2 linked regions of the Anolis sagrei genome follow. The protein of the gene in region 1 interacts with the protein of each later gene in a pairwise test. Links are inferred from orthologs where the notes say so. Each region holds a gene or a part of one and is shown on either strand. Other genes may lie near its edges.

Region 1 (8,158 bases):
CGACCCCCAGGTTGAGAAACACTGCTCTAAATCAAAGCCTGAACGATTTTTACTGCCCAAAGTGTCTCCATCTTAAGCCTCGTCCTCATTGATCACTTCAGCTTCACTATCCAAACTAGGCCCATCAACATTGGCATCAACATTAGCATCAACATTGGCATCACCATTAGACAATACAAAGATTCAGGCTCAGGTTCACACACAGGCTGAGTCCCAACATGACTGAATGGAGCACCATTACCTTCCCGCCAGAGAGGTACCTATTGAGCTCACATTTGCATGTTTTTGAACTGCTAGGTTGGCAGAAACGGGCTAACAGCGGGAGCTCACGGTGCTTATCGCCATTTCTAAGCCAAAGAGCCGGCATTGACCGGAGACACCTCCAAGGTCATGTGGACGGCATGACTGCATGGATCACCATTACCTTCCCCCAGAGCGATACTTATTGAGCTCACATTTGCATGTTTTCAAACTGCTAGGTTGGCAGAAGCTGGGGCTAACAGTGGGAGCTCATGTCGCTCCCCAGACTCGAATCTATGACCTTTTGCTTACCAAGTTCAGCAGCTCAGAGGTTTAACACACTGCTCAACCACAGGCTCCTAACTATCCCTATTTACATGAAAAGTTTGGGAAGAAATCTGTGCAAACCATTGGGCTGGGTTGCTGTGAGTTTTCCGGGCTGTATAGCCATGTTCCAGAAGCATTCTCTCCTGACATTTCACCCACATCTATGGCAAGCATCCTCAGAGGTTGTGAGGTCTGTTGGAAACTAGGCAAGTGGGGTTTATATATCTGAGGAATGATGTCCAGGATGAGAGAAAGACCTCTTGTCTGTCTGAGGCAAGCATTAATGTTGCAATTGGCCACCTTGAGTAGCATTGAACGGCCTTGCAGCATCAAAGCCTGGCTGCTTCCTGCCTGGGGGAATCCTTTATTGGCATTCCCCCTGGCTGGAAGCAGCCAGTCTTACACCCATATCTATGGCAGGCACCCTCAGAGGTTGTGAGGTTTGTCAGGATCTAGGCAAGTGGGGTTTACTTTTCCAAAGCATACTAACCTTGGGTTGCTGTGAGTTTTCTGGGCTGTCTGGCCATGCTCCAGAAGCATTCTCTCCTGACATTTCACCCACATCTATGGCAGGCACCCTCAGAGATTGTGAGGTTTGTTGGCATCTAGGCAAGTGGGGTTTACTTTTCCAAAGCATACTAACATTGGGTTCCTGTGAGTTTTCCAGGCTGTGTGGCCATGCTCCAGAAGCATTCTCTCCTGACATTTCACCCACATCTATGGCAGGCACCCTCAGAGGCTGTGAGGTTTGTTGGGGACTAGACAAATTGGGTTTATATATCTGTGGAATAATGTCCAGGGTGAGAGAAAGAACTCTTGTCTGCTTGAGACAAGTGTGTATGTTGCAATTGATCACCTTGATTAGCATTGAATAGCCTTGCAGCTTCAAAGCTTGGCTGCTTCCTGCACCCTGGGCATTCCACAGATGTATAAACCCCACTTGCCTAGTCTCCAACAGATCTCATAACCTCTGAGGATGCCTGCCATAGATGTGGGCGAAACGTCAGGAGAAAATGCTTCTGGAACATAGCCAAACAGCCTGGAAAACTCACAGCAACCCAGTGATTCTGGCCATGAAAGCCCTCTGCTGGTTGCATCTAAGCATTACATACATACCAATAAGACAGTAAGTCTTTCTATGTGCACACTGCCCTCTTGTGGTTGCATTGAAGCCTTTCATACATTCATAGCAATAAGCCAGTAACAACTTTCCTATCTGCATGCTGCCCTCTTGTGGTTACATCTGAGCATGACATACATAATCAGCCAGTAACTAAGCCTTCTTAACTGTATACTGCCCTCTTCTGGTTGCATATAAGCATTGCATACATCCATACCAATAAGCCAGTAAGTAATCCTATCTATATACTGCCCTCTTGTGGTTGCATATAAGCATTGCATACATACATCCATACATACCAATAAGCCAGTAACTAATCCTAGCTATATACTGCCCTCTTGTGGTTGGATCTGAGCATTGCACAGACACAATAAGCCAGTAACTAAGCCTGCCTATCTATAGACTGCCCTCTGGTGGTTGCATCTGAACATTGCATATGACCTTGAATAGCAAGTGGGCGCAATGCCTGATGTGTCCACCGGAGGGCGGCAAAGGACAACACATAGGAGTCCAGGGCAGAGAGATGCCCCATAGGTTTCAATGGAGGGGCAGAGTAACAAGGGGGCGCAATGCCTGATGTGTCCACAGGAGGGCGGCAAAGGACAACACATAGGAGTCCTGGGCAGAGAGATGCCCCATAGGCTTCAATGGAGGGGCAGAATAACATGGGGGCGCAATGCCCAATGTGTCCACAGGAGGGCAGCAAAGGATAACACATAGGAGTCCTGGGCAGAGAGATGCCCCATAGGCTTCAATGGAGGGGCAGAATAACAAGGGGGCGCAATGCCTGATGTGTCCACAGGAGGGCAGCAAAGGACAACACATAGGAGTCCTGGGCAGAGAGATGCCCCATAGGCTTCAATGGAGGGGCAGAATAACAAGGGGGCGCAATGCCTGATGTGTCCACAGGAGGGCAGCAAAGGACAACACATAGGAGTCCTGGGCAGAGAGATGCCCCATAGGCTTCAATGGAGGGGCAGAATAACAAGAGGGCGCAATGCCTGATGTGTCCACAGGAGGGCGGCAAAGGACAACACATAGGAGTCCTGGGCAGAGAGATGCCCCATAGGCTTCAATGGAGGGGCAGAATAACAAGGGGGCGCAATGCCTGATGTGTCCACAGGAGGGCAGCAAAGGACAACACATAGGAGTCCTGGGCAGAGAGATGCCCCATAGGCTTCAATGGAGGGGCAGAATAACAAGAGGGCGCAATGCCTGATGTGTCCACTTGAGGGCGGCAAAGGACAACACATAGGAGTCCTGGGCAGAGAGATGCCCCATAGGCTTCAATGGAGGGGCAGAATAACAAGGGGGCGCAATGCCTGATGTGTCCACAGGAGGGCAGCAAAGGACAACACATAGGAGTCCTGGGCAGAGAGATGCCCCATAGGCTTCAATGGAGGGGCAGAGTAACAAGAGGGCGCAATGCCTGATGTGTTCACAGGAGGGCAGCAAAGGACAACACATAGGAGTCCTGGGCAGAGAGATGCCCCATAGGCTTCAATGGAGGGGCAGAGTAACAAGAGGGCGCAATGCCTGATGTGTTCACAGGAGGGCAGCAAAGGACAACACATAGGAGTCCTGGGCAGAGAGATGCCCCATAGGCTTCAATGGAGGGGCAGAATAACAAGGGGGCGCAATGCCTGATGTGTCCACTGGAGGGCAGCAAAGGACAACACATAGGAGTCCTGGGCAGAGAGATGCCCCATAGGCTTCAATGGAGGGGCAGAATAACAAGAGGGCGCAATGCCTGATGTGTCCACTGGAGGGCAGCAAAGGATAACACATAGGAGTCCTGGGCAGAGAGATGCCCCATAGGCTTCAATGGAGGGGCAGAATAACAAGGGGGCGCAATGCCTGATGTGTCCACTGGAGGGCGGCAAAGGACAACACATAGGAGTCCTGGGCAGAGAGATGGCCCATAGGCTTCAATGGAGGGACAGAATAACAAGGGGGCGCAATGCCCGACTCGTCCATCAGAGGGCGGCAAAGGATAACACTTTGGTGGAATGGATCCAATATCAATTGCTGTGGCCTTTAGAACACTAAGGAAATCCAAATATGAAACAATCTGGTCTAGGGAACACCTCTCCACAAAGCTTTCCCACAGGCAGGAAGAAGCCAGACTTTTAAGCTGCAAGGCTTTTGAAAGGAATAATGATAATTTACATGCAATATAATAAATATATATAATTAATAATAAATTACATGAAATATAATAAATATATATAATTAATAATAAATTACATGGAATATAGTAAATATATATAATTAATAATAAATTACATGGAATATAATAAATATATATAATTAATAATAAATTACATGGAATATAGTAAATATATATAATTAATAATAAATTACATGGAATATAGTAAATATATATAATTAATAATAAATTACATGGAATATAATAAAAATATATAATTAATAACAAAGTACATGGAATATAATAAATATATATAATTAATAATAAATTACATGAAATATAATAAATATATATAATTAATAAATTACATGGAATATAGTAAATATATGTAATTAATAATAAATTACATGGAATATAATAAATATATATAATTAATAATAAATTACATGAAATATAATAAATAAATATAATTAATAATAAATTACATGGAATATAGTAAATATATATAATTAATAATAAATTACATGGAATATAGTATATATATATAATTAATAATAAATTACATGAAATATAATAAATATATATAATTAATATAAATTACATGAAATATATTAAATATATATAATTAATAATAAATTACATGGAATATAATAAAAATATATAATTAATAACAAAGTACATGGAATATAATAAATATATATAATTAATAATAAAGCACATGGTATATAAAATATATATAATTAACAATAAATTACATGGAATATAATAAATATATAATTAATAATAAAGTACATGGAATATAATAAATATATATAATTAATAATAAATTACATGCAATATAATTTTGTTGTTATTATATTGTTATTGTTATTATATTATGCAATATTATGCAATATAATAAATATATATAATTATATAATTATGATATCATATTACTAGCAGTAGGAAGAATGGAAAGGAGGGAAGGAAGGAAATGGTAGTGGAGCCATTATTTATGGAATTTTATGCAAATACTAGGATTGAGCTCTGGATTGTTGTGTGCAGAGGGCTCCTGTCCCTTTAAATCAAGGGTTCTGAAAGCGCAATCTTAAAGAGAGGGCGCCTGTCTCTTTAAGGAGCACCATACGGGAGCGCCCCGCCCCTTCACGCCTCAGCCAGGCAAAAGGGGGCGTGTCCCGCACTGCGCCACGCCCTCCTCATTTGCATCGCCGTTGCCTGTCTTTCCCTCCCGCGCATGCGCAACGGTTAGCGCCTGCCCTGTCACTTCCGCCAGCCGGTGGGCGCTTCCGATTGGAGCGAGACTGCAGTTGAGGACCAGCTGGTGAGTGGAATCTCGGAGGGCAATTGAAACAGAGAGAGAGATTCCTCTGGTTTGGAAGGGAAAGGGAGGGTATTCTGGGATGGGAGGCTGTAACACTGCTGGTAGTCACTATGGCGACGGCTTGGAGGCCAAGGGAAGGCAAGTGGAGCAGGCCTGGCCCAACTTAGGCCTTCATTCCAACTTGGGACTACAACTCCCACAATTCCTCACAGCCTCAGGCCCTTTGCTTTCCCCCCTCAGGCCTGGGCCAACTTGGGCCTTCCCTCCAGGTGTTTTGGACTCCAACTCCCACAATTCCTCACAGCCTCAGGCCCTAAGTTGTAGTCCCTAAAGGCCTGAGGCTGTGAGGAATTGTGGGAGTTGGAGTCCAAAACACCTGGAGGGAAGGCCCAAGTTGGCCCAGCCCTGAAGTAGATGTGCCAGAACAAGGCCTTGATCAGGAAGGCTAGCTACTGTCAACCAAAACCCACTTTACAAGTTCCTCTGCTTATTTCTCTTGTTTCAAGATTCTTATAATCCTTTCTTTTTTTAAATGAAGAGGTTAAACAATTGTATAATCCGTCTGGACTACTGCAACGCTCTCAATGTGGGGCTGCCTTTGAAGATATAATAATAATAATAATAATAATAATAATAATAATAATAATAATATACATCACGCAGTGCTAGAATCATAGAATCAAAGAGTTGGAAGAGACCTCATGGGCCATCCAGTCCAACCCCATTCTGCCAAGAAGCAGGAATATTGCATTCAAATCACCCCTGACAGATGGCCATCCAACCTCTGTTTAAAAGCTTTCAAAGAAGGAGCCTCCACCACACTCCGGGGCAGAGAGTTCCACTGCTGAACGGCTCTCACAGTCAGGAAGTTCTTCCTCATGTTCAGTTGGAATCTCCTCTCTTGAGTTTGAAGCCATTGTTCCTCATCCTAGTCTCCAAGGAAGCAGAAAACAAGCTTGCTCCCTCCTCCCGGTGGCTTCCTCTCACATATTTATACATGGCTATCATATCTCCTCTCAGCCTTCTCTTCTTCAGGCTAAACATGCCCAACTCCTTAAGCCGCTCCTCATAGGGCTTGTTCTCCAGACCCTTGATCATTTTAGTCGCCCTCCTCTGGACACATTCCAGCTTGTCGATATCTCTCTTGAATTGTGGTGCCCAGAAATGGACACAATATTCCAGGTGTGGTCTAACCAAAGCGGAATAGGGGGGTAGCATTACTTCCCTAGATCTAGACACTATACTCCTATTGATGCAGGCCAAAATCCCATTGGCTTTTTTTGCCGCCACACCACATTGTTGGCTCATGTTTAACTTGTTGTCCACGAGGACTCCAAGATCTTTTCCACACGTACTGCTCTCGAGCCAGGCATCCCCCATTCTATATCTTTGCATTTCGTTTTCCTTCCAAAGTGGAGTATCTTGCATTGGGAAGTGTTCGACTTGTGGTCTTTTTGGTATGAAATCCAGCATATAGATCTCGTTTGCTGTGACATTCTGTGCTTTTGTGTCAGTAAAATAATATTATAATATTTATTTATTTGTCGTGTCAGGGCAACCAGTCAATTATATTACATTTCTAACAGAACAAAGCAAACAAACAGACATAATACATCATTTGTGAGTTTGGTAGTTGATTATCATAATATTATTATATTATAATAATAATAAATAATGATCACAAGCCGGAAAATTTTACAGAAAATGAACACACCAAACTACTCTGGGACTTCCAAATTCAGACAGACGATTATATTATTATTATTATTATTATTATTATTATTATTATTATTATCACAAGCTGGAAAAATGTACAGGAAATGAACACGTCAAACTCCTCTGGGACTTCCGAATTCAGACAGTGTTGTGGCGCACAATACTCCTGACCTCACGATCATGTTAAAAAACAAAGTATGGATCATCGATGTTGCAATCCCGGGTGACAGCAGGATTGAAGAGAAATAACTGGAAAAGCTGACACAATATGAGGATTTAAAGATCGAACTGCAAAGACTCTGGCACAAGCCAGTCAAGGGGGTCCCAGTGGTGATCGGCACACTGGGTGCAGTGCCTCAAGACCTTGGCCTGCACTTAAACACAATCAGCACTGACAAGATTACTATCTGCCAGCTGCAGAATGCAACCTTACTGTGATCTGCACGCATTATTCACCAATACATCACCCAGTCCTGACTCTTGGGAAGGGTCCGATGTGTAATCCAATACAACAGACAGCAGATAATCTTGTCTGCTGTGGACTCATCTTGTTGTGTTTCTAATAATAATAATAATAATAATAACTACTACTACTACTTTATTTTTATACCCCACCTCCAAATTTGGACACTACACCCCTAACAGATCAACAAGTGACTGTCACTCATAAAAACACTGAAAAACACTGCGGAAGAGACTTAAAAAGCCAAAAAATAAAAAATCCATAACACACAAAACCACATATACACACATATATATGCGCACACACAAAACACATATACACAGACTGAGTCACAGCGACGCATGGCAGGGCATGGCTAGTTGAATGATATTTCTATCCCGCTTTTCTCAAACCCAGATGTGACTTAAGACCACTTTACAATATAAAACCAAAACAGTGTTGGTCCACAAGCACAAAGATATACACTATTAATAGTAAATAAACAGTGTAGACTTATATTGAGTGAAATACACATAGTACAAAATATACAATCCCAATGCTAATGCTCTGTATAACAAAGTAGTTCCTAACTCGTGCTTCGGCTCGTGCGCCAGCTGCGCCCGTATCTTGGGAAGTCTGACTTGGCCACGGTGGTACACGCTTTGGTCACATCCCGCCTCGACTACTGCAACGCTCTCTACGTGGGGCTGCCCTTGAAGACGGCCCGGAAGCTCCAGCTAGTCCAGCGTGCGGCAGCCATGTTGTTAACCGGAGCGGGACGCAGGGAGCACACAACGCCCTTGCTGTCCCAGCTCCACTGGCTGCCGATTTGCTACCGGGCCC
Region 2 (7,291 bases), on another chromosome or scaffold:
GAACCCACCGACGATAGCTCCCTGTCTGTTTTCTAACAGGAAGAGAAGGACAGGTGGAGAGATTTTCAGCCTTTTCTGGCAAAGGGGTTCCTAAGGCAAGCAGAAATATGTGTTTTCTGATGGTCTTTGGTGACCCCTTTGAAGCCCCTCATGACCCCCCCCCCCACCCTGGTTGAGAAGCACTGTCCAAAGGCTATCTCTCTTCTTACTTTCCTAAGATTATTATGGAGACTAAAGTCCAATACCTGAAAGAAGGTGGAGTTTCACAAGGCAGCTGGAATTCTGTAGTTGTTCTATGGGCTCCTCCCATGTCTTCTTCAGAACTGGCAGCATTCTGAAACAGTTTGTTGGCCTTTCTACGTACTGGGCTGAACAGCTGTATGTAGGTTTGGGTCTCATCTTTCAGACGACTGGAGGGCTGGGTAATGTGGAAGTCATTTTGCCACCCACGAGGAAGCTAACATGCAGGTCAGAAAAGTGGGATATATCTGAAATGGAATACATTTAGGATGCATTTATTTATTTATTTCAAATATTTGTATCCCGCCCTTCTCAAGCCCTGGAGGGGGACTCCTGGCGGCTTACAATTCGATGCCCCCCATATACAAACAAAAGAAACAGCAGTTACATAATAAGGAAAACATTAAATTAAATTAAACTTAAATCCATTTAAAATAGTACTAAATTGGTTGGCCATATCTAAAACTGAATTCTACAACCAACGACTTAGTCCGAAGCTTGTCCATAGTCCATTTTCGTAGCATTGTCATAATTTTTATTATCAGCCTGCTACCCAAATACTTGGTCTCACAACCATTTTTTCAACTATTTCCTAAAGGAAAAAAGAGGGAAGCAGTTGACCTAATTTTGCTGGGGAGTAAGTTCTACAGGCGGAGGGCCACCACCGAGAAGGCCCTGTCTCTCGTCCCTGCCAAGCGTGATTGTGACGGTGGCAGGATCGAGAGCAGGGCCTTCCCTGAAGATCTTAAGCTTCGAGGTGGAACGTAGAGAGAGATAAGTTCAGACAAGTAAGCTGAGCTGGAACTGTATATTTGAATTTTTAGGCAGCAACATTCATTCCTTCATTAAGTTCAGTCATGAATGCAGCTCAAGCTGCCACTTCAGTAGGAACTGCTATTTCTGTCTGCTTTTTTGCCTTGATCAAGAAGTACTTTGCCATCCATGTAGCCCCTTATGCAAGATAACAAAAGTAATATGATTATTTTAGTTGCCTGTTATTTGTTTAATAATTTACTACCTCTAAAAGATGAATTATGTGGAATGGGCATATTGAGTAGCTGTTCCAGAAATAAAGTGCCTGTGCAAACAACACAGGCAAGGAAGAAGCTAAACAGATAATTCCCACCACCCTCCAACTCTCCTTCCACCACATGCTGTTGGCAGGACCCAACTAGTAGCATCAGGGTTGTGAAGAAGAAATTGACTGAACATGGTAGTGCTCGGTAGAGAGTAGATGGCTGAAGGTATGATAGAAGGAATATAGAGATAGAAGCAAAATGCTAATCATGGTCTACTTGTTGATTCGTCATGTAATCTACACCAACCATTGAGTAGATAAAATGCTTCAAGATCAAGCAAAAAATTGTTAAAAGTTCTGAAAACTGAGCTGACCAAGAAAGCAAGATACATGAAAATATTTAGGACATGTTATCCACACTGAGGTGTTAGAAGCTTTATTCAGCACACAGTGAAGAACTTGTCCATCATTTTGCAGATAAGCTCGCTCGGATTTGATTTGACTCTGGCCCCATCCACACTGCCATATAAAATCCAGATTATCTGCTTTGAACTGGATTATATGGCAGCATTGACTCATCCAGTTTAAAGCAGATAATGTGGATTATCTGCTTTGATCACCTGGATTATATGGCAGTGTAAGAGGGCCCTTACAAACCACATTTGATACAACATTGTAACCTTGTGCACCTGCTTTTTTAGTGTTGAGGGATACTTTTCAGTGTGTGTAGTCTGAGCATGTGGACAGAATCCTTGGAAAGATGAGAGCCATCACGTGTGTTAGACCCTTGTTCCTTCTGGCTCATTAAGCAGATGAGAGGGGAACTGGGGGAGAGGGTCACGGAAATGATTAATGCTTTGTTGCATCACGGCAGGGTCTCAGGATCCTTCCATACAGCCCTATATCCCAGAATATCAAGGCAGAAAATCCCACAATATCTGAATGTGGACTCAGATAACCCAGTTTGAAGTAGATACTGTGGGATTTTCTGCCTTGATATTCTGGGATAGAGGGCTGTATGGGAGGGCCCCCAGCATGCTTCCAGGATGCTGTAGTAAGATGTCTTCTAAAGAAAACTTTCCTGGACCCTTCTGTACTTAATAGCTATTATCTTCTATTTTTCGGAAGATACTAAAGCATGTGGTGGCGATTCACCTCCAAGGGTTCCTGGATGAGGATTATTATCTACACCCATTTCAGTCTGTTTTGATGCCTGATTATGGAACAGAGAAGGGTTTGTTGCCTTGGTAGATAACTTATGCAGGGACCTGGGCAGGAGATGTGTTACCTGCTGGTTCTAACTTTCAATGCCATTTTGCCATGACAACTTTCTGAGTTGCCTTCACCTACAATCAAAGAGCATTCTGAACTCTTACCAATGATAGAATTGAACCATGTTTGGCACACAGAGCTCCCATGACCAACAGAAAGTACTGGAAAAAGGTTTGGCGAACATTGACCTTGAGTTTGGGGGTTGTAGTTCACCTACATCCAGAGAGCACTGTGGACTCAAACAATGATGGATCTGGACCAAACTTGGCACAAATACCCAATATGCCCAAATTTGAACACTGGTGGAGTTTGAGGAAAATAGACTTGACATTTGGGGGTTGTAGTTGCTGGGATTTATAGTTCACCTACAATCACAGAGCATTCTGAATCTCACCAATGATAGAATTGGGCCAAACTTCCCACACAGAAACCCCATGGCCAACAGAAAATACTATGTTTTCTGATGGTCTTTGGTAACCCCTCTGACACCCCTTGGGACCCCACCAGGGGTCCCAACCCCTAGTTTGAGAAATGCCTACTTATCTACCTACTTACACTTTTAAAGCCCCAATTCCTGCTTCATATTTGGAGGGCCATATTTTACCTCAGTGCCATTTCATTTCAGCATTCATAAGAGGCATGGCTTTTTATTTGAAGTGACAAAGACAGGTGACTTCTCTGATTTAATACATTCCCTATCTAGTTTCAAGTAAACGAATAGTCATAGAATCACAGTTGGAAAGTCCCCATGGGCCATCAGATTGAACTAGCAATCCTAATTCTGCACTAACACAAATGACTATATAGTTATTTGTAATCCAGAATTAAACTTTCAGAGTTAAGTTTTCAGAGCCCTGAGCTTACCTCAGATGGTTTGGTCTAAAGTATCAGTTTTGGTTTTCCCCACAAACATATTTTTTAAAGTGACTGATCCTATGTCTGGACAGCTGTGTTGTATGATCTCATAGAATCATAGAGTTGGAAGAGACCTCATGGGCCATCCAGTCCAACCCCCTGCCAAGAAACAGGAAAATTGCATTCAAAGCACCCTCGACAGATAGCCATCCAGTCTCTGTTTAAAAGCATCCAAAGAAAGAGCCTCCACTACACTCCAGAGCTGAGAATTCCACTGCTAAACAGCTCTCACAGTTAGGAAGTTCTCTTAATGTTCAGATGGAATCTCCAGGGTAGCAGAAAACAAGACTGCTCCCTCCTCCCTATGACTCCCCACCACATATTTATACATTGCCATCATGTCTCTTCTCAACCTTCTCTTCTGCAGGCTAAACATGTCCAACTCTTTAAGCCACTCCTCATAGGGCTTGTTCTTAAGACCCTTTAACATTTTAGTAGCTGTTCTCTGGACACATTCCAGCTTGTCAACATCTCCCTTCAACTGTACTGCCCAGATTGACCACAGGTGTGGTCTGACCAAGGCAGAATAGGGGGCTAGCATGACTTTCTTGGATCTAGACACTTCCTGCAGGATGTGCTGGTTTGGATCCAAGGCGGCATACTGTATGCTAGTGATACAATGAACTTCTGTTTTTAAAGGATCCAAATGAAGATACGGAATGGAATGATGTTTTGAGAGATTTTGGGATTCTGCCCCCCAAAGAAGAAGTTAAAGATGAAATTGAAGAAATGGTTTTACGTTTACAAAAAGAAGCTGAAGGTAAGGAGTTGCTAACATATTGCTGTCAGTGTGCAAGCAATTGTTGGAATTAAGATCACTGCATTTTAGCTGTCTACAATCTAAGCATTGTAATACAATCCTATCCTGCTCATATGGCTTCCAAAGAATAAAAAGGCTAGAAAATGGCTGTTGTATAGTTTTCTTGGGCAATGTAGTACTTCACAATTCAGATGGGGAAAGGCACAACCTTGTATTCATCTTAAAATAAACAAAAGGCAATTGGATTCTAAGATAGCTTTGCCTTCCTCTGATTTCTACAAGTCAGGAATTTTTAGCACAAGGAAAACACCCAAACAGTATATTTTAAAACAGGCCAATCAGAGAAAAACGAGAACTCATACTTCCTAAATTCTGAATTAGCAGATCAGCCCTAATACTGACACAATTAGAACACATCTGGAAATAACATCTGGCAAAAGGTTATTGCACTTAATGGCCATTAATTGGAATTTTGTAAACATGGGGTTTCTGTTTAGGATTCAGCATCATGCACATCTTTGGGAAAATTGATTTTTAATTCCATTTAAGTGTTTGTTTTTGCTTGCATCATGTATATCTTGGCTTTCAGCAAGAGCCCTCAAGATGGCTTGGGAATAAATCCATACAAAAACACAGTGAATATCTAATATTACTTTCTGTGTTTCTTCTAAATAAGGATATAAGAAAAACTATGCTGGATCCTAACCAAGGCCAGTGTCAGGATCCAGCATGTGTTCCCATGATGGAAAATCAGTTGCCCTAAGCAAAGCCAATGAAATAGGATATAAACACAACTTCTCCAGAAACAAATCATAGAATCATAGACCTCGAGGGCCGTCCAATCCAAACCCCTGCCAAGAAGCAGGAAAATCACATTTCAAGCACCCCCGACAGATGGCCATCCAGCCTCTGTTTAAAAGCCTCCAAGGAAGGAGCCTCCACCACACTCTGGGGCAGAGAGTTCCACTGCTGAACAGCTTTCACAGTCAAAAAGTTCTTCCTAATGTTGAGATGGAATCTCCTTTCTTGTAGTTTGAAGCCATTGTTCCGTGTCCTAATCTCCAGGGCAGCAGAAAACAAGCTTGCTCCCTCCTTCCTATGACTTCCTCTCACGTATTTATACATGGCTATCACATCTCCTCTCAGCCTTCTCTTCTTCAGGCTAAACATGCTCAGCTCTTTAAGCCACTCCTCATAGGGCTTATTCTCCAGACCCTTGATCATTTTAGTCACCCTCCTCTGGACACATTCCAGCTTGTCAACATCTCCCTTCAATTGTGCTGCCCAGAATTGGCCATAGTATTCCAGGTGTGGTCTAACCAAGGCAGAATAGAGGAGCAGCATGACTTCCCTGGATCTAGACACTATACTCCTACTGATGCAGGCCAAAATCCCATTGGCTTTTTTGCCACCACATCACATTGTTGGCTCATGTTTAACTTGTTGTCCACAAGGACTCCAAGATCTTTTTCACACGTACTGCTCTCGAGACATGCGTCCCCCATTCTGTATCTTTGCATTTCATTTTTTCTACAGGAGCACACTTCCTCTTATACATGAAGTGATATATAGTCAGTATGACTAGTAGCAAGTTATGGCCTTAACCTCCATTTCATTATAGAAATTCTTCTCAAAAGTAACTTTCCAGGTTCTGCCCAGAAATATACAGAAGTGGCATTTTATTTTTGCCCTTTGTTATACATTTTTGTATATTTTTATAACAGCGCTCCATGCAGTCATGCTGGCCACATGATCTTGGAGGTGTCTACGGACAACGTTGGCACTTCGGCTTAGAAATGGAGATGAGCACCACATCCCAGAGTCAGACACGACTGGACTTAATGTCAGGGGAAAACCTTTACCTTTACCTATACATTTTTGTAGCTTCTAAGGTTGTTTTGGGTTTTTTTTGCTCAGTGAAACCATATGAAAAAATGAATCTGAAACAACTCAAAGAAGCTGAAGATGAATTTAATGAAGAAGATATGAAAGCTGTTGAAATGTACAGGTATGCTCAAGTTTATGGTGAGCACATTTAAAGACAAAATAACACGAGAAGAGCAAAGATCTCAAAATGGATATGAAATTAGAATAAATAGATGGTCGTTATTCATATTTTATTCCTTTGCTACTAAGCAAAGCATTTAACAGGTTTGAGTAAACGAGGAAAAGTAGTTCTAATACTTATATGTACTCCATAGGCAAGTAAGTGGTGCCATCTAGTGTTTTCAATTGTGTACATTTGTGCGTGAGTTTTATGCATTCGAAACTGTTGTTATCATAGAAACACCTAATTTAGTACAGGTTCTGTGTTAAAGGAACTTGTATTAAGGGTTTTTACAGAAAATCTCTTGTACATCTATCAAGAAATAAGTCCCAGGGAATTCAACAAATATATGTGTGAAGGATAGCAATTTAAGTTATTCAGTTGCTTAAATCTGCTGACATTACAATATTTCTGAAGAAAAATAATAGGCTAGTAAAGCAGGTCGGTGCTTATTTGAGGTTCTCCTGAGATTGACTAAACTTTCATCTTTCACCACTCAGGAAGGGGGGTACAATCTATGTATCTATGCACGTAATAAGTGAAAATATGCATGTGTGTGTCTGTGTGGTTGGGGATTCCACTTACACAGACGTGCTCCTGCCTCCACAAACAGCTATAGCCCCCACTACTCAGGAGACACCAATAGCCCTCCCTCCAATGACATTGCAGGTTATAGTGAGCACCATGAACATATACAAGAACCCTGCCAGTGTCCTCCACAAACACAATACTGCCCACCACCTAAGTGAAGGCTTTCATATGGGGACAATTCCAGCCTAGAGTTTATGTGTTTCCTCCACCACAGACTTCTCAGTGTTTCTTACTCTCCCCGTTGGTGTGGAATTTGCATGACCCCACCAATTGCCTCTCCTTTAACCCTTTCCTATTATCTTCTATGACACACAACAAACTGATGAACTGATCAGCAATGGAACACATTAGAGAGGTTTGGGGAGAATTCACCATGATTTATAGGAGTTGTAGGTCCTGGGATGTATAGTTCACCTAAAATCTAAGAGCACTTTGAACTCCACCAATG

What was found.
Region 2: the proteins of GOLGA1 (region 1) and PDCL2 interact in a two-hybrid assay, tested with the Homo sapiens proteins (2 studies listed by BioGRID). The two-hybrid records come from large-scale screens. The link is inferred for Anolis sagrei from reciprocal best matches to the Homo sapiens genes GOLGA1 and PDCL2.

Annotation. Positions count from the first base shown.
Region 1 is NC_090031.1:6,349,733-6,357,890, forward strand, and holds the start of GOLGA1 (golgin subfamily A member 1), read left to right. Parts: upstream 1-5,078; 5' UTR 5,079-5,157; intron 5,158-8,158. UniProt on the Homo sapiens protein: Involved in vesicular trafficking at the Golgi apparatus level. Involved in endosome-to-Golgi trafficking. Mechanistically, captures transport vesicles arriving from endosomes via the protein TBC1D23.
Region 2 is NC_090025.1:73,589,292-73,596,582, forward strand, and holds the start of PDCL2 (phosducin-like protein 2), read left to right. Parts: upstream 1-4,174; coding exon 4,175-4,205; intron 4,206-6,122; coding exon 6,123-6,213; intron 6,214-7,291. UniProt on the Homo sapiens protein: Essential for male fertility, spermiogenesis and acrosome formation.